Saccharomyces cerevisiae S288C: one gene and its partners. Each later gene encodes a partner of the first gene's protein in a complex. Each region holds a gene or a part of one and is shown in the gene's direction. Other genes may lie near its edges.

What was found. Proteins that work in one complex are often made in the same cells at the same time.
Region 2: POP8 (region 1) and POP1 share a complex: the UniProt entries of both Saccharomyces cerevisiae proteins name them as parts of the nuclear RNase P and RNase MRP complex.
Region 3: POP8 (region 1) and RPP1 share a complex: the UniProt entries of both Saccharomyces cerevisiae proteins name them as parts of the nuclear RNase P and RNase MRP complex.

What each region holds. Positions count from the first base shown.
Region 1 is NC_001134.8:184,126-192,135, reverse strand, and holds POP8 (ribonuclease P), read left to right. Parts: upstream 1-5,661; coding exon 5,662-5,708; intron 5,709-5,783; coding exon 5,784-6,138; downstream 6,139-8,010. Other genes in the region: PEP1 (type I sorting receptor), read left to right, coding at 553-5,292; DNA-(apurinic or apyrimidinic site) lyase APN2, read right to left, coding at 6,221-7,783. UniProt on the Saccharomyces cerevisiae protein: Component of ribonuclease P, a protein complex that generates mature tRNA molecules by cleaving their 5'-ends. Also a component of RNase MRP, which cleaves pre-rRNA sequences.
Region 2 is NC_001146.8:228,615-235,639, reverse strand, and holds POP1 (ribonuclease P/MRP protein subunit POP1), read left to right. Parts: upstream 1-1,944; coding exon 1,945-4,572; downstream 4,573-7,025. Other genes in the region: ADE12 (adenylosuccinate synthase), read right to left, coding at 1-1,227; SSU72 (RNA polymerase II subunit A C-terminal domain phosphatase), read right to left, coding at 5,926-6,546; cysteine protease ATG4, read right to left, coding at 6,786-7,025. UniProt on the Saccharomyces cerevisiae protein: Required for processing of 5.8S rRNA (short form) at site A3 and for 5' and 3' processing of pre-tRNA.
Region 3 is NC_001140.6:220,424-225,630, reverse strand, and holds RPP1 (RNA-binding RNA processing protein RPP1), read left to right. Parts: upstream 1-1,872; coding exon 1,873-2,754; downstream 2,755-5,207. Other genes in the region: ribosome-associated complex protein SSZ1, read left to right, coding at 1-106; 2-dehydropantoate 2-reductase PAN5, read left to right, coding at 462-1,601; GIC1 (Gic1p), read left to right, coding at 3,153-4,097; VMA22 (Vma22p), read right to left, coding at 4,361-4,906; mitochondrial 37S ribosomal protein mS41 FYV4, read right to left, coding at 5,131-5,207. UniProt on the Saccharomyces cerevisiae protein: Component of ribonuclease P, a protein complex that generates mature tRNA molecules by cleaving their 5'-ends. Also a component of RNase MRP, which cleaves pre-rRNA sequences.

The sequences.
Region 1 (8,010 bases):
CAGAAAGATAAAAGAGTATGTGAAAGTAAACTGCCCTCTCCAGTTAACTCTTCCCAAACTAAAAAGTATCCGCCTGTGCGGACTACAAGCACTACCGCCCCTTGAATGAACACCAAAAGATGTGTGTAAGTTAAAAAGTCCGAACGAATTTATCCTTATGTATGTTCTTTTGAACGTCAAGTAGTCAATCTCTCCAACTACTCGGGTCTTTATATGGATCGCGTGATGTTTTAAGCCTTCTTTCCTCTAGTTTAGTGCAGTCGCTGCTTTTTTCTCGGGCTGAGTACGGCGAAAAGAAGGAAAAACCAAGGTCAAAAAATAACCTCTAAATAACAGCATGATGCAACAGCTCAAAAGACCTCTCAAGAAGCACAAAAAAAGGAGGCGAGTAGGTGGTACTATTTCATTCTACTAAGATCTTTAAAGCAATTCCTTTCCGGTTTTTTTCTCAACTACCGTACTCTTTTTCCTTTTTTATTTTGCCCTTAGATTGTATTATAAAGCTCTGTATATCTGGAAAAGCCCTGAAGTGTCCAGTAGTCATCACACGTTATGATATTACTTCATTTTGTCTATTCTCTTTGGGCCTTACTTCTCATTCCTTTAACTAATGCCGAAGAATTCACCCCCAAAGTGACAAAGACTATCGCGCAAGATTCATTTGATATATTAAGCTTTGATGATTCCAACACTTTAATTAGAAAACAAGACACCTCCGTTACTATAAGCTTTGACGATGGTGAAACATGGGAAAAAGTTGAAGGCATTGAAGGCGAAATCACTTGGATATACATCGACCCCTTCAATAGACATGACAGAGCCGTTGCAACGGCAATGAATGGGTCGTACCTTTATATAACCAATGATCAAGGTAAGTCATGGGAGCGTATAACGCTACCTGACTCCGGAGAAAGTATTTCACCTCGTGAATGCTATATAGAAACCCATCCCTTGAATAAGAACTATTTTCTTGCAAAGTGCAACTATTGTGAGAAAACAGAAGTAAACAATGACAATGAAGAGAATTCGGGGGACGAAGAGGGACAATTTGAAATATTTAATATTACACGTTGCACAGACAAGGTTTTTGCAAGTAATGATGGTGGAAAATCCTTTTCTGAGATCAAGTCTTCTCTAGAAAGGAACGAAAATAGTCCTATCAGCATTTCTGATTGTGGCTTTGCCAAGACCAGCAAAGATTCTGACCTTGAAAGTAGTGATACCTCAATAATCTGTCTTTTTCAAAATATGCAGCTTATTATGGATGAGTTTAGTTCTCCTTACACCGAAAGTAAATTGGTCCTAACTACGGACTGGGGCAAATCACTAAAAGAATTTGACCAATTTAAAGATAAGGTCGTCAATGGTTACAGGATATTGAAATCTCACATGGTTGTCTTAACCCAGGGCGACAGATATAATGATATGTCTTCCATGGATGTGTGGGTATCAAATGATCTGTCAAACTTTAAAATGGCTTACATGCCTACTCAGTTAAGGCATTCTATGCAAGGAGAAATATATGAGGACGCTATGGGAAGAATTATCTTGCCCATGAGTAGGGAAAGAAGTGATCAAGAGGAGGATAAGGGCATCGTGTCTGAAATTTTAATTTCCGACTCACAAGGGTTAAAATTTTCCCCCATCCCATGGACCGCAAATGAGGTGTTTGGTTATATTAATTTTTATCAACCTACTTACTTGAAAGGAACGATGATTGCCTCACTTTACCCTCTATCTAGGCGTCGTAACCGTAAAGGAAAAGCCAAAGGAGTAAAGAGTAAGGGGGTAACCAAAATATCTGTTGATAATGGCCTCACATGGACAATGTTAAAAGTTGTTGATCCAGATAACGCAGACTCATTCGACTGTGATATTACTGATTTTGAGAATTGTTCGCTTCAAAATATGTTTTACACACGGGAGGGTTCCACTCCAACCGCCGGAATTCTAATGACAACAGGTATTGTTGGCGATGGTAGTGTCTTCGACTGGGGAGATCAAAGAACCTTTATTTCTAGGGATGGTGGCTTAACATGGAAACTCGCCTTTGATTTTCCTTGTTTATACGCTGTTGGTGATTACGGAAATGTTATTGTGGCTATACCGTATAATGCGGATGAAGACGACGATCCTCAATCCGAATTTTATTACTCTTTAGACCAAGGTAAAACTTGGACCGAATATCAGCTAGAAACTACTATCTACCCAAATGAAGTAATGAATACAACGCCCGACGGATCTGGAGCTAAATTTATTCTAAATGGGTTTACTTTGGCGCATATGGATGGTACAACGAATTTCATCTATGCAATTGATTTTTCAACAGCCTTTAATGATAAGACATGCGAAGAAAATGATTTCGAGGATTGGAATTTAGCTGAGGGGAAGTGTGTCAATGGAGTCAAGTACAAGATCAGAAGAAGAAAACAGGACGCTCAGTGCTTGGTGAAGAAAGTTTTTGAAGACTTACAATTATTTGAGACTGCTTGTGACAAGTGTACCGAGGCTGATTACGAATGCGCGTTTGAATTTGTTAGGGACGCGACCGGGAAATGCGTACCAGACTACAACCTAATCGTTCTCTCTGACGTATGTGATAAGACAAAGAAAAAAACTGTGCCTGTAAAACCATTGCAACTAGTTAAAGGTGATAAATGTAAAAAACCAATGACAGTCAAATCAGTGGATATTTCGTGTGAGGGAGTTCCAAAGAAGGGAACGAATGATAAAGAAATAGTGGTTACAGAAAACAAATTTGATTTCAAGATTCAATTCTATCAATACTTTGACACAGTCACCGACGAATCCCTCCTCATGATCAATTCAAGAGGAGAAGCTTATATATCTCATGATGGTGGACAAACAATAAAAAGGTTCGACAGTAATGGTGAAACAATTATTGAAGTTGTGTTTAATCCATACTACAATTCTTCAGCTTATCTGTTTGGTTCCAAAGGTAGCATTTTCTCTACCCATGATAGGGGATACTCTTTTATGACTGCTAAATTGCCCGAGGCTAGGCAGTTAGGTATGCCATTAGACTTTAACGCTAAGGCACAGGATACATTTATCTATTATGGTGGTAAGAATTGTGAGTCAATCTTAAGTCCGGAATGTCATGCGGTAGCATACCTGACCAATGATGGGGGCGAAACGTTTACGGAAATGCTTGATAATGCAATTCATTGTGAGTTTGCGGGCTCACTTTTCAAATATCCGTCAAATGAGGATATGGTTATGTGTCAAGTGAAGGAAAAGTCTTCGCAGACAAGAAGCTTAGTTTCTTCTACTGATTTTTTCCAGGATGATAAAAATACCGTCTTTGAAAATATTATCGGCTACTTATCCACTGGTGGCTATATCATCGTTGCTGTTCCTCATGAGAACAACGAATTGAGAGCATACGTAACTATCGATGGTACTGAGTTTGCCGAGGCAAAATTCCCATATGATGAAGATGTTGGGAAGCAAGAGGCATTCACTATATTAGAGTCTGAGAAAGGATCGATATTCTTACATTTAGCAACAAACTTAGTACCAGGACGCGATTTTGGCAATCTTTTGAAATCCAACTCAAATGGTACTTCTTTTGTCACGTTGGAGCATGCCGTTAATAGAAACACATTCGGCTATGTTGACTTTGAAAAAATTCAAGGTCTCGAAGGCATTATTCTCACCAACATCGTTTCAAATAGTGACAAGGTCGCCGAGAATAAAGAAGACAAACAATTGAAGACGAAGATCACCTTTAATGAAGGTTCAGATTGGAACTTTTTGAAACCTCCGAAGAGGGATTCAGAAGGAAAAAAGTTTTCTTGCAGCTCCAAATCACTGGATGAGTGTTCATTGCACTTACATGGCTATACTGAACGTAAGGATATTAGAGATACATATTCTTCCGGTTCTGCATTAGGAATGATGTTCGGCGTTGGCAACGTTGGTCCTAACCTTTTACCATATAAAGAATGTTCCACCTTCTTCACCACCGATGGTGGCGAAACGTGGGCTGAAGTTAAGAAGACTCCTCACCAATGGGAATACGGTGACCACGGTGGGATTTTAGTTTTAGTTCCTGAAAACTCAGAAACTGATTCTATTTCCTATTCTACCGATTTTGGTAAAACATGGAAAGATTATAAATTCTGCGCTGATAAGGTTTTAGTAAAGGATATAACCACTGTTCCCAGGGATTCTGCTTTGAGATTTTTGCTGTTTGGAGAGGCAGCAGATATTGGAGGCAGCTCATTTAGAACGTACACAATTGATTTTAGAAACATCTTCGAAAGACAATGTGATTTCGACATCACTGGTAAGGAAAGCGCAGATTATAAATACTCTCCTCTGGGTTCCAAAAGCAATTGCCTATTTGGTCACCAAACCGAGTTTTTACGTAAAACCGATGAAAATTGTTTTATTGGGAATATTCCACTTTCTGAATTTTCAAGAAATATCAAAAACTGTTCTTGTACAAGACAAGATTTCGAGTGTGATTACAACTTTTACAAAGCTAACGATGGTACTTGTAAATTAGTCAAAGGACTAAGCCCAGCAAATGCTGCAGACGTTTGTAAAAAAGAGCCAGATTTAATCGAATATTTTGAATCGTCAGGCTACAGAAAGATCCCTCTATCAACCTGTGAGGGTGGCCTGAAATTGGATGCTCCCTCATCACCACATGCTTGCCCAGGAAAAGAAAAAGAATTCAAGGAAAAGTACTCAGTAAGTGCCGGTCCCTTTGCATTTATTTTCATTTCAATTCTTTTAATAATTTTCTTTGCCGCATGGTTTGTATATGACAGAGGTATCAGAAGAAATGGGGGATTTGCAAGGTTTGGAGAAATTAGGCTAGGTGACGATGGTTTAATAGAAAACAATAATACTGACAGAGTTGTCAATAACATTGTGAAATCAGGATTTTACGTTTTCTCAAATATCGGGTCTCTTTTACAGCACACAAAAACTAATATAGCGCATGCTATCTCCAAAATTAGAGGAAGGTTTGGAAACAGAACAGGTCCAAGCTACTCATCCCTGATCCATGATCAATTTTTGGATGAAGCAGATGACCTGCTTGCTGGCCACGATGAAGACGCCAATGACTTATCCAGTTTCATGGATCAGGGTAGTAATTTTGAAATCGAAGAAGATGATGTTCCAACACTTGAAGAAGAGCATACATCATATACAGATCAACCTACGACCACCGATGTTCCAGATACATTACCAGAAGGAAATGAGGAAAACATCGACAGGCCTGATTCTACAGCGCCATCTAACGAAAACCAGTAGAGAGATTACTTTACATAGAGTAGATAATTCCATATACTTTTCATAAACAAAAACGAGCAGATCCTTTAGACAGAATATCAAGTTCTTTCACAAGCCAAAGAAACTTGGCATGATCAGTACTGGTGCAATTCAAATAACTGCAAGTACTGAATCTCCATCTTCAAAGCAGAACCGTAATAATGCGTACAAGGAAGCGGGTGGGATATATCATATGTTACGGGAAAGTGGTTGTTTGACTGAAGATCATCGAGAACGTCATAACTTCAATACATAAGTCATCGCGTAATTTTACAAGCTTTACTGTTCAGCTTTATAGGATAATCAGAATAAGAAAAGGCAGATAAATAGTTTGATAAATGGCCAGTTGTGATGGGGAAAAAGACTTTTAGAGAATGGCAATATTTCAAGTTATCAATGTATGTATATTTTTGACTTTTTGAGTCTCAACTACCGAAGAGAAATAAACTACTAACGTACTTTAATATTTATAGTACTTCATTCGATCAAGATGTGGACGATGCACATGCTATTGATCAAATGACATGGAGGCAATGGTTAAATAACGCATTGAAACGTAGTTATGGTATTTTTGGTGAAGGTGTAGAATATTCATTCCTGCATGTTGACGATAAGCTGGCTTACATCAGAGTAAATCATGCGGATAAAGATACATTTTCTTCGTCCATCAGTACATACATATCTACTGATGAACTCGTCGGTTCACCATTAACAGTGTCAATTCTACAAGAATCTTCCAGTTTGAGACTTCTGGAGGTTACTGACGATGACCGCCTATGGCTGAAAAAAGTAATGGAAGAAGAAGAACAAGACTGTAAATGTATATAGAATATCAGTTTATTATTTAAAAAAACTTGGGCATAGAAGAAAGTGTTTTATTCTCCCAAAATATCAGCTGACGTTTTCATATTTAAACCCACTGAAAAAACCCACAAGATGATTCTGTATTATTTGAATCACCCCGAGATCTCTTGCAAATCCAGAACTTTCTACCTGGATTGGCCGAAGTTTTCGATGTTTTCAGCATGGATTCCTCCCCATGCCTGCACAGGGGAGGCTTTCCAAAGACATCCTTGAAATTCAACTTTGGCGTGGAGATTCTTTTTTTAGCTTGCTGTGGAATTTCAGAGGATTCTTTAATCCTGTCATCTTTTTCTCCATTTACCTTCTGGAAAAATGAGTCGAGCGATTTGTTTTTGATGTTGCTGTTTTTTTTGGTATTCATGACTTTTGATACACAATATTTTTGTTTATTAGATTCTTTATTCGTATCCTTTTTGGCAAACATCTCTAAAACATTATGGTTTCTTAAATTATATTTGTACCTTGCTTCGAATTTTGGTATGGGAACTTGTGTCGTACCAGGTTCAATTCTGTCGTCCAGTATATCTAAATCAGAATACACAGGACAATGGTCAGAGCCCAATATATCCGGAAGAATGTCAGCTGCTTTTATGCATCGTTCAAGCTTTAAGGACACTAGGATAAAATCTATCCGTGAGCCATAATTCGAAGGTCTTAAATTTTTTAACATATTCCAGACTGTATACATTTTAAGTCGATTTCTTGTTTGAATTAGCCTCGTAGTGTCTATCAGTATCCCCCTTTTACTCGCGTCTGGTAAAAGTGAATCAGCCAATATTTGATTAAATATCCTCCGATGTGGCGTGTCCGGATTGATAATAAATTGGATTGCTTTATCCCTATATTGTGCTTCTAACTTTGTTCCACCCATGGGATCTGTTATTGGAATTGAGAATTGTTCTAATGTATCGGCACTGTCTATAAGATCCCGGCAAACATTTACGTCGCCCATTAGCACAATCTTCTTCCCAATTTTGTCCAAATTCCGAACTCTTCTTAATAAAACTTTCAAGAACCTTAATCTAAACATCTCACCCTCCTCCGATGAGTTCGAATTTGCGGGACAATATACACTGATAATAACTATTCCACATGCCAGTTCAACCATAACACATCTGCCTTCTGAATCTAGTTCCAGTGCACTTTTCTCATCTAAATCGGGATCTAAAGAATCGTAACCACCAATTCCTTGATTTACGTCGTTTCTATAGGAGATTGCTGAATGCTTACCATTTTTTATTGTCAAGTAACCCGTTATACCTTCTTCTGCCTTAACGACTTGTAATGCATGGTATAGTGGGTGGTTCTTTTCCGGAATTCTAATCCAGCAGCCAACGCCAGAATATCCCTTTCTGGTTTGAGGGATAGAAATAAAAGAATAAAAACCATCAACTCTCCCCCACTTAGAGATAGACAATTTTTCCGTCTTGAGCTCTTGGAATGTTATTATGTCTGCTCGAAAAAAGTCGAAAACAGATCTAAGGGATTGATTCATTTGAGAAAATGGTTGATAATGAAAAAAGGTTCTTATACCATTGACATTGAAAGTTAAAAATCGTATTGTGTTCTCTGACTTTCCATCCAGTAACGTGTTTTCGCTTGATGACATAGTGTCCTGACAAGGAAAGGGATTTTCTTTACGGTGAAATAGCTTCTCTCTTGGTTGCCTATCTTTTATTGGGTAATTTTTCAGCACTTTCACATCATATAGTACATACAAACTAACTTTCTGAAGGACTAATAAATAAAAAAAAATGAATGCTTTTTGATAATATACTCACTATATGTTATTTAAGCGCATATTATGTGTCGCCTAAGTTATATAAGAATTTTTGT
Region 2 (7,025 bases), on another chromosome or scaffold:
ATCTTCAATATATTTTAAGTACTTCTTTGCGTTTTCCGGCAAATCTTCATACTTTGTAATTTTGGTAATATCTTGATCCCAACCTGGCAAAACTTTGTATTCAACTTCAACTTTACCAAGAATATTCAAGTCTTCAGGGAACAAATCTAGCTTCTTACCTTGAATAGAATATGAAATACCCACTGGGATTTCTTTGAAAGTATCGAGGACGTCTAACTTGGTAATGTTCAAACTCGTGTATCCATTGATCAAAGTTGAGTATTTCAAGACTACCAAGTCTAACCAACCGCAACGACGCTTACGACCAGTAGTGACACCAAATTCAGCACCAATGGTCTGCAGTTTTTCTCCATTTTCGTTCAATTGTTCCGTTGGGAAAGGACCTTCACCAACTCTAGTTGTGTAGGCTTTAACAACACCATAAATTTCATCAATAGTACGTGGAGGAATACCTAAACCGGTGAGGACACCACCAATACCAGTATTGGAAGAAGTCACATATGGATAAGTACCAAAATCAATATCCAACATCAAAGCATTAGCACCCTCAACCAATATCTTTTTCTTTGCTTCAATAGCATTGTGCATGAAAACGACAGAATCGACGACGAATGGCTTTAGTTGCTCTCTTAACTTCTTGTATTCAGCAAGCTTGGCTTCAAAGTCGTATTCGAAATCACCGTATCTTTGTCTTCTCGTTTCCAATAATCTCTTATATCTAGCAACAAATTCCTCCCAGGCACCGGGTTGATCATTCACCAAATGATGAACTCTCAAACCAGATCTAGAAGCCTTTGTGGAATAAGTTGGACCAATACCTTTACCGGTAGTACCGATATTTTTACCATCTTTAGAACGACCTGATAACTCCAATTCTCTTAGCTTGTCAGTCACCTGATGAAAGTCAAAGACTAAATGTGCTCTGGAAGAAACAAATAATCTACTCCTTGCGTTCTTCAAACCTTTAGCTTCCAAGGTTTCCAACTCTTTGAAAAAAGATGGAACATGAATAACAACACCATTACCCAAAAGGTTTTGGCAGTTTGGGTTGACTAAACCAGATGGTAACATATGGAAATCATACTTAACACCGTCTACAACAATGGTATGCCCGGCATTGTTACCACCGGCGCAACGGGCTACAATATCATATTTACCAACCAGTAAATCAACTAGTTTACCTTTACCCTCATCACCCCATTGGGAGCCCAATACAACGTTAACCATTCTGATATGCTTTAAATTTAGTAATGTTACGATTTCCCCTACCTTATCCAACGAAAAGCTTAATATTTACTCGGTCGAGGTAAGCTTCTACAATCGTTTCTTTTATAAGGCAAGTTAAGAAATAAAGAGAAAGTCAAAAAAGAAAAGACTAGTAAGAAAAAGAAATTACTTTTTTAGAAATAATGTTTACTTATTATTATTTACTTTGTTAATCTGTGACTCAATGAAAAGGATCGCGATCAGTAAATGTAAAATCGAGATTATTTAAATACAATTTTTTTCCGTATCTGGATTCACAGGAACAGGTAAGTGGGACATGTTTTCCCGACGATTTGGTCACGAGAGCGAATTGAATGGGACTAATCTCACCATCCGATTCTCTGGGGTTGCGGTAATTGCTGATTCCTTTAAGTTTACAGATTTATTAATTGGTTGCAAAGTAAATTACTATTGACTCTACCGGCCATAAGGAAGGTAGATTGACTTCTTTGCTGGTCATTTTTTCATATGTGATGTGCACGTGACATTGCACCCGGGTAAGAGGGTAACACTGTGGGAAAACTTTTCAGTGAAATTCGCATTAGAAGAAAGCAGATCTGAATTCGATGAGATTCTCGGAACGGTGGCATGTCTTTGAAGAACGGGGATACTTATTGAGCAGCCTGCCACTTGAACATTTGGCAAGAAAGGTGAGAATTGACCTCATTATAATTACAAATGAGCGGGAGTTTGTCTAGAGGAAATGGTGGAAAGAAAGTTCTTAATAAGAATCAATTACTGAAGCGAAATCGCATAAGAAATGCTAGATCAATTAGAGCAGAGGCCGTGGCCGCTTCATCAACAAAAACTGGGACACCGAGTGATCTGAGTGAATCGGGAAGTAAGCTAAACGTGGACCAATTCATTAGTTCTCGACAATTCGAGGTTAAGCAGTTGCAATTGGCCATGCATAATTCCAAAGCAGCCAGCTCAACGAGAATATTTCAGGCATTGCCTCGAAAATTGCGTCGTAGAACGGCTTCGCATAATGTTCGTAGAATTCCAAAAAGAATGCGCAATAGAGCTTTGAGGGAAATGCGTAAAAGTGATCAGCAGGATGTGTTGAAGGGGTCTTCAGCCTCTTCCAGAAAAGCTCATGGCCTAAATGCAAAGCAACTTTATAAAGCTAGAATGTCCATAAAGCTGCTACGATTGGCTAGCAAATCTACTTCTATGAAACTCAGCATGCCACCAGAGGTTACATCATCTAACTGCCACGTAAGGCAGAAAATCAAGACATTAAAGCGAATGATTAAAGAATCATCAACAGCAAATCCAAATATAAAGTTACTTAATAATCGTATGGGGAGCTATGATTGCACTGGTGTCAATGAATTAGCACCTATTCCCAAGGGCAGGGTCAAATATACGAAGAGACAGAAGCACTTTGCTTGGCTACCCACCCACATTTGGAATGCTAAAAGGTCGCACATGATGAAAAGATGGGGATATCAAATGGTATGGGCACCTACTCAAAAATGCTTTAAATTGACGCATAGGTTGGGCGGTGATACCTGCAGCTCCGATGGGGCCTTATGCATGGATTCAAGTTATATTGGTACAATAATTGTAAAAGACAAAAGCAATGACAGTGAGGGGGACTTTTTAAAATCCATTATAGGAAAGTTAACAGCTGAAAGAGCAAACTTAAGGAAATATCGCGAAGGCCAGGTTTTATTCCAAGGGTTAATTTATAGTTTCAATGAAGAAAACGGTGAGGATTCTACTAAGCCACTGGGTCCATGCGACGTATTTTGGGTACAAAAGGATACTGCAATTATAAGGTTACACCCTTCAATTTATACTCAGGTTTTTAACATTCTTTTGCAACATAAGGAAAAACTAACAGTACAAGATTGTCGATATTCATTAGCAAGCGTGACATTGAAGGGAGCTAAAGCTCTAGAGTCATTAGCATCGTGTTTAAGGAGCACAGAGTACTCTAAATCGTTTGAACAATTTAAAATGGTTTCAATGATTACCGATCATAATGCCCTACCACAGAGGTGTACGTTTGCATTTGAAGCCATAGATCCGCGTCATCTAGCTGCTCCAAAGAAATTAAATGATTCACAGAGGAAGACTGTTAATTCTGACGACATTTTATCACTGCATGAAAACTATCCTCAAGACGAAATAAACGCCGTTTTTAACGAATTATGTGACCCTGAATCACGTACTCAATCATACAACAACCAAAACACATTAAAAGAAATTTCTGCGAGACGTTACAAATTGCTAACTGCCACACCGAACAGCATCAATAAAACTACAGTCCCGTTCAAAGAAAGTGACGATCCTTCTATTCCATTAGTCATAATAAGAAGGCTCAAGACCAGGGATTGGATTGTTGTGTTACCATGGTTCTGGCTGCTACCGTTATGGCATCTACTGAACCGGATACCAAGGATGTATCACATTGGCCTCAGGCAATTCCAGCAAATTCAGTACGAGAATAAGCAATTATATTTTCCGGATGATTATCCATTCACTCAATTGGGTTATATAGAAAACTCATTTTATAAAAAGGAGGCCTCCAAGACGAAGTGGGATAGGAAGCCAATGGGAAAAAGGATTAATTTCGAGAAGATCAAAGACATCCATAACACTAAATTACCGGCATATAGCGGAGAAATCGGCGATTTTTTCAGTTCAGACTGGAGATTTTTACAAATACTGAGAAATGGAATTGATTATTTACAGCGGAATGATAAAACCTTAGAACTGATGGACAGTAAGAAGACCGGGCAATTTAACGCTCAGGGTGTAAGAGACATCAACTGTGTAAATGATGTTTTGGAGTTTTGCAAAGATTATGAAGCCAAGACCAAGGCTATGTCGTTGTCGATTGAAGAGAACATACCAGTTGCATTGTGTAAAAATCGGAAATGTCAATTTCGCACTCCTGATAGCATTAGCGTCAATAGTTCTTCATTCTCCCTTACATTCTTCCCACGTTGTATCATTGCTGTATCTTGCACACTACTCGAACGAGGTCACCCAAAGGACAATGCAAGAATATATCAAGTTCCAGAAAAGGACTTAGAGCATTGGCTACAATTGGCAAAAGGGGTTTACCGCCCAAACGGAAGAAAAGATCATGATTTGAAAATTCCACTTCCAGAGGTACATGATTTGATTGGTTTTATTACCAGCGGCACCTACCACTTAAATTGTGGAAATGGTATGGGAATCGGATTTATAGATCATCATGCGGCCATCCGGCAACCAACTAGGTATGTACTGATCAGAAATGTAGGTACCAACACTTATAGGTTGGGGGAGTGGTCGAAAATATCCGTATAATGAACTGAACTGAATTATATGTACGACCGATATCCTATAAAGCTATGTATACAGAGGGCAAATAGCAATCATATCGCGCAATAATGGTCTTTTTGCTTCCTGGAACTCTATACGTACACATTTAGAGATTGAAAGTGGCAACAAATCTTATTATATGTTAATTTAAATACGGTGATCTACGCTGCCATCATAGGGCTCATTGATTCATTCCCTAGCTCTTGAAAATGTCAATGAAATTATTACCCGTCTTTGCACCTTTTTTTTTTCTAAGGCGACGAGTTTTCCATTGGCAAGACGTATAAATAGAGAGAAGAAGTTCCATTTAATAGAACTATTTTACAAACATACTTTTAGCGTTAAAATATAGTTTTTTCTTGAATTTTTTTAAAATCCTCATACTTACCTTAAGATATCAGAGGAGATCAAGAAGTCCTACTGATCAAACATGCGCTTCCAATAGTAGAAGGACGTTAAGCATTTATCATTGAACTATAATTGTTCATTGAAGTCATTGATGCAAACTCCTTGGTCACACACACATACGGCGCGGAAGGCGTGTTTGCTGACGTTTCCATTCCCTTGTTTCAATCATTGGTTAATCCCTTGATTCCTTTGGGGATTTTTGGGTTAAACTGATTTTTGGGGCCCTTTGTTTCTTCTGCCTGGAGAAGTTTGACACCAAATTCAAATTGGTGTTAGGGGAGCTGGGGCCTTTCAAAAGAGAGCTTTGTAGAGGCATTCTTTTTGACTACTTTTCTCTAGCGTGCCATTTTAGTTTTTGACGGCAGATTCGAATGAACTTAAGTTTATGATGAAGGTATGGCTGTTGAGATTATTTGGTCGGGATTGTAGTTTGAAGATGTGCTCTTTTGAGCAGTCTCAACTTTGCTCGTTCCCGTTATGGGAAAAATTTTGGAAGGTCTTGGTAGGAACGGGTGGATCTTATAATTTTTGATTTATTTTCAGAAATAAATGGAACATTTTTCTATTTATTTCTTTCTTAAAGTACTGAAACTTTTAAAGTTTCATGCTTCTATTTTCTTCATTTCAGTCCTATATCTGGTGATGTGTTTTGGAATGAAACCTGTTATACGCTACATTGAGACAAGACATTGTCCAGCTTACTAAAAATACAGTGTGTTGTATATCAAGCTTCTTGATAAAAAAATAGCTATGTGGACAACAAGCAAATAATGTGCTTAAGAGAGCCGCAACAAGAAACGTAATATTATATAATGAATATAACTAGGAAGCTATCGAAGACTTGTGAAAGTATTGAAATTTCACGGATAATGTAGGATTCATGAGGGCCGCTTAATGCTTATGCTTTTCTACAGTAATTGACCGTTTTGTTTAGTAATATGAAGGAGCGTATAATGACGGTAGTTGAGAATGTGAGCTTTGCCACTCAGTTAAAATGTCCATTATACAATCTTCAAAGGGAATGTCATCTTTTTCACATTGTTCTATTTTATCATTGAGCATATCAGCTAATTCCAATATAGCTTTGCTACCAATTTTAGCATTTTCATCATCATCTTTAATGTCAACATTAATTACATGCACTATTTTGTTTAATTTCCCACCTCTATTCATCAAATCTTCACAAACGGCATCAAAACATCTCTCTTCACAAGTGAAAACGAAGTCGAAGACTTTTGTACTTTCTTGCCATTTTTCAGGTGCTTTTTTGAGTCTTCTATTACGATCCAGCATTTGCAATAAACCGTTCGACTTGTAACGGTCTGCTGATTGTGATAAAAGATCATTATATATATCATTATAGGGTGTACCAAATGAGTACACATTAGGCTTATCTATCGATAGACCAGGCAGTCTCACAGCTGAACCTGTTCCGTAAGAGCTAACATTATAGCCTGCTTCTTGCAGGACTTTATGCGATTCCATTGAACGATTGTTGTTTGATGCACAAACTGTGCAAAACTTCAAGTTTGAATTGCGATGACTAGGCATTTTGGACTTCGACACTAGTTTATACCACCGTTGTCTTAATCTTCTTACAGGTGGTCTTTAATTCGTGCCGACTGGCCTTTTTCTTTATTATCTTTCGTTTTTTAAGTTCTTTCCACTGCCGCAGACGAAAAATACGTAAAGGATGATCAAACGAATAAGAACAAAAGAACTGGATACCTCAGTTTTAGGGAATATATTAAAACAAGTATATATGCTTATGAACTAGTGAATTCCTTACACTAGCATTTTTCATCAATAGGACTGTGAATACCTACCGTTTCCTTCTCTACAAGGACGCCTTCTACTTCATAATCTGTTAAATTCGCATTAACAGTGTGTGTGTTTCCCATAACAACAATCTTCTGTTTCTTGCAATGAATATCTTGAAAACAATCATATTCGTCTACATCTTCTGTATTTGTTGTGTGTGGGAATATTGCACCAATATCTACGTAGTCTCCCTCTAGTACTCCGAGATT
Region 3 (5,207 bases), on another chromosome or scaffold:
AAACGCTAACGGTGTTGAAATTATCTTTAACATTAACAAAGACGGTGCTTTAAGAGTCACCGCTAGAGATTTGAAAACTGGTAATGCTGTAAAGGGTGAATTATAGAGCGCTCTAAGAAAAACGGTATGTATACGTATATAGAAAAATACATACATGATGGAACTATACAGCCCTTGAAAAAAGAACATATAAAATTAAGTCAAAAAATGCTATAGCAAGGTTATTATGGTTAGGTTTGTGACTTTCTGTTGAGTCACGTTCTATTCAAATTCATATTTCATGTTTCCGATTTCTTTTTTTTATAGATTGGCGGCCGCTAACGGTTTCTCGAGAAAGGCTTATCGTGCCATTCAGCTTAATACAAATATATTAAAAAAACAAGATACTTTATACTCACCTTTGTATGTTACGATCGATAGGAGAAATCGATAATATACGTATACGATAAAGTCTGTACAATATGACTGCACCACACAGAAGTACTATTCATATTCTTGGGTTGGGTGCCATGGGTACCGTTTTGGCAGTTGACCTTTTAAGATTTACCAATGCCCTAGTTGTGCCCTTATTTAGATCACAAGAAAGACTTGCACAATTTCAGAAGACAAATGGGAACAACATTTCGATTCGCAAACTTTATTTGGAAGGCTCGCCAATATTTTCTTATCCAGTGGAGAAATGCGAATGCCCTGAAACTTTCTCTAAAAAACCTATTGACAACTTAGTCGTCACTACAAAGACTTACCAAACCAAAGAAGCACTAGCTCCTTATTTGCCTTATATTAATAAAAATACAAACTTAATTTTGATTCAGAATGGACTGGGCGTTTTAGAACTATTGAGAGAAGAAATCTTTACAGATTCAAAAAACAGACCACATTTATTTCAGGGTGTCATTTCTCATGGCGTTTATCAGGATAAAGCAGGAGTTTTCAATCATGCTGGGTGGGCTGGTATGAAAATTGCCAAATTGCCTTGGACTGAGGAAGAAATGATTCAAAAAAAATCCGTAGTCGAGGACGATGCAGCCAATAACTCATTAGTAAAATTATTAACAGAACCAAAATTTGCCAAGGAATTTGGAATAGAACATTCCACTTATCAAGAAATGCTCTTTGGTCAATTATTTAAATTTTTGGTTAATGCATGCATGAATCCAGTTACGGCTATTCTAGATTGTGTCAATGGTGAGATGAAGGCCAGTTGCGGTCCAGTTTTCACATCTATTATTGACGAGTGTTTACAAATATTGAGAGTTGCTTATAGGCCATTGTTTCAATACCACGAAAAATACAGCGGTAATGAAGAATACCCAGAAATGGATGTCAATGCAGTACTGACAACCGATAACATGGTCTCCGAAGTCACTAGAATTGGCTGTGACATCAATTCTAGGAACAGTAGTTCAATGAGACAAGACACTTTGTTCTTAAGAGACATTGAAATTGAGTATATCAATGGCTATGTCGTCAAATTGGCTGATAACTTAAATCTAGACCCAAACTGCTGCAAGGTTAATAAAACTATCGGAGAATTGGCCACTATGAGATTAGCATTGAACAGGTCGAGAAGTATCAATGGTGACTGGAGAAAGGACTGAAAATGCGCGGATATCAGCCAGAACATATACATTTATAAATACTGATATATATACACTCTTAATGCTTTATTCGAGCGAACCTTAACAGTCTGAAGGCAGATTAATTTGTCAAGTGCCTCTCTTTTGTTACTACTACCAGAAAACATGAAAAATGTATGTGCGATGCCCAGAATTTTACCTCGCATAAATGAAAAAATTTCATTTTACCAGTAGAAAATACTTAACCTAAACAGACACAAAAAACAAAAGTGAAAGCATTATAGAACCGAGAATGCTGGTAGATTTGAATGTACCGTGGCCACAGAACAGCTATGCAGACAAAGTTACTTCTCAGGCGGTCAACAATTTAATAAAAACGTTATCCACATTGCATATGTTGGGATATACACACATCGCCATAAATTTTACAGTAAACCACAGCGAGAAATTCCCCAACGATGTTAAGCTGTTAAATCCTATCGATATCAAGAGAAGGTTTGGAGAATTGATGGATCGAACAGGGCTAAAATTATACAGCAGGATCACGCTAATTATCGACGATCCATCGAAGGGACAGTCTCTTTCCAAGATAAGCCAGGCCTTTGATATTGTAGCAGCATTGCCAATCAGTGAAAAGGGCCTTACTTTATCAACTACCAATCTGGATATTGACTTGTTGACCTTTCAGTACGGGTCGCGCCTGCCTACTTTCCTTAAGCATAAAAGCATATGCAGCTGTGTGAACAGAGGAGTAAAACTTGAAATTGTTTATGGCTATGCTTTGCGTGACGTACAAGCTCGGAGGCAGTTCGTATCCAATGTAAGAAGCGTCATCAGGAGTTCGAGGTCCAGAGGCATTGTTATCGGCAGTGGTGCCATGTCACCACTTGAGTGCCGCAACATATTAGGAGTAACAAGTCTAATCAAGAATTTAGGTCTTCCGAGCGATAGGTGTTCGAAGGCCATGGGAGACCTAGCTTCACTCGTCCTCCTAAATGGCCGCTTAAGGAATAAGAGCCACAAACAGACCATTGTTACCGGTGGTGGTAGCGGAAACGGCGATGACGTGGTCAACGATGTTCAAGGCATCGACGACGTCCAGACCATCAAGGTAGTGAAAAGGAGTATGGATGCTGAACAATTAGGCCATGCTTCCAAAAGACACAAGCCTTAAAACGATACGCTAACCTATAACATATAATGTATAAATGATAATTAAATACGTACCCGGGTAGTAGACATCGCTATTATCATCACAATCCACGAATCGCGACGCGAATTCGCGAAAAGACAACAACAATAAAGGAAAAAAAAAACAAAGAAATTTTTCGACGATTTCCATAGAGAAGGAAAACAACGAATAGACAAAAAAATTTGGGGATCCAAGGCATATTCTGTTACATTGTACCTGTAGGATTTACTGAGAGCTGAAACCATTGAAAACTATTCTGCAATTAATTATCTTCGTACGGACTATCACTACTTTTTTTTAAGAAAGACTTATTTCTATTGTTTATTGTTTATAATTCACTCTGAATACTCGCTTATTAATTGTGTGATAAATTCTAAAGGATGACTGAAGGAAAGAGGCTGCAACAGATGGAGCTTCCTCAAATGAAATCCATTTGGATTGACGAGGATCAGGAAATGGAAAAATTGTATGGATTCCAAGTAAGGCAACGATTCATGAATGGACCTAGTACGGATTCCGATGAAGACGCCGACGAAGATTTAGGAATTGTTCTCGTTGACAGTAAAAAGCTGGCTTTGCCGAACAAGAACAACATCAAATTGCCCCCTTTGCCCAATTACATGACGATCAACCCTAACATAAATTCCAATCACAAGTCATTAACTAATAAAAAGAAGAATTTCCTGGGCATGTTCAAAAAAAAGGACCTGTTGTCGAGGAGACATGGGTCTGCCAAAACCGCAAAACAGTCAAGTATATCTACACCATTTGATTTTCACCATATTTCGCATGCTAATGGTAAAAGGGAAGACAACCCTCTTGAGTCGCACGAAGAAAAACATGATGTAGAATCATTAGTCAAATTCACGTCTTTGGCACCGCAACCCCGACCAGATTCAAACGTCTCTTCTAAATATTCCAATGTTGTGATGAACGATTCGAGCAGAATAGTGTCTTCCTCCACAATAGCTACAACGATGGATTCTCACCACGATGGTAACGAAACCAACAATACCCCAAATGGCAATAAGCAATTAGACTCGCCTACAGATTTGGAAATGACCTTGGAAGACTTGAGAAATTATACATTTCCTTCTGTTCTTGGAGATAGCGTCAGCGAAAAGACCAATCCTTCCTCTCCCTCTGTTTCATCATTTTCTGGCAAATTCAAGCCAAGAGAGTTGAGTGCGCTACATACGCCCGAATTAGGAAATTGTTTCAATGTAGATCAGTCGCTAAATTCCCCTGGTAACAGAATATCTGTGGATGACGTGCTAAAATTCTACTATCAATGTAGTGAAACTAGTACTCCTCGAAATACCTGAACTAGTTTTCTTCTTTCCTCCTCTTCTTTGAACTGCTTCCAAATTCTGTCTTTAAGTCCATCACATGGTGTTTTATGGGATTTTGTATTATTACGGTGTTCGGTTTTCTTTTGGGTATTGAGCTTTTATTTTGGTCTTAATTTTTTTTTTTCTTTTTCAAACCATGGACTTTATTATAATTAATCTACGACAACTTTTAATGATTATTTCTTTCTTCAAATATACACGTATGTATTATTTCTTTTTACTATATTCTTAACTCTTTATTCCTGCTCAGACAACGTTTCAACCAACGTTAATATTTCGTTCTTGTAATTAATCAATTGGGCTATTAAGGGAATACAACCTTTGAAACTTGTCTGCGATTGTCTCAATGAAGAAGGAACGGACAGTACTCCACCAAACATCAAAATTGGGTCGTAGTCTTGTTTAAGTTTGTGACTCTGAGTTTTTTGCTTTTCTGGCTTCGTTCCTTTTTTTCTCTGAGTCAATTTATTATCTTCTTCCTCTTTCTTTTCTTGCTTATCTTGAGCTTTTCTTTTGACGATTTCGACAACTACCTTGGAGTTTTTTTCTTCCACTGTTGCCATTAGTTGACCTATATACGTTTCATCCCAGTAATCTTCACCATAGTTTCCTCGTAATGAGTCTTTATTATAGTAGTTCGATCTGCTCAATTGGATGTAGCCATCCTGGAACCCCTTCTGCAACTGCTCTAAGGTGGAATCATAGTTTGAGAGTAGCTCAATAAGTCTCAGGTACTGTTCATCTGTAGTATCCATGTTCTGTGCCATCCTTGTTTCACTCATCTTCTCGTTAAGCCGTCAATTTTTCATTTCATCGTATCTTCAAAACATATTTACAATTCAAATTTCAAACCGATGAAGATTTGAAAGGCCCAGTCAGCGTTTCATATAAATATCAACATGAATGAAGGACAACAATTTCTGAGTTTATTATATATTTACAAGAATATGGAGTATAATGTGAACATATACGTATACATGTATATATTGAGATCTTGCGAAAGCGTCTATTGCTTGTTTTCAGCTTTCCATTTAGCAGTAAATGCCTTTCTCTTCCTCTCACCACCAAAAAATGACTTCTTGC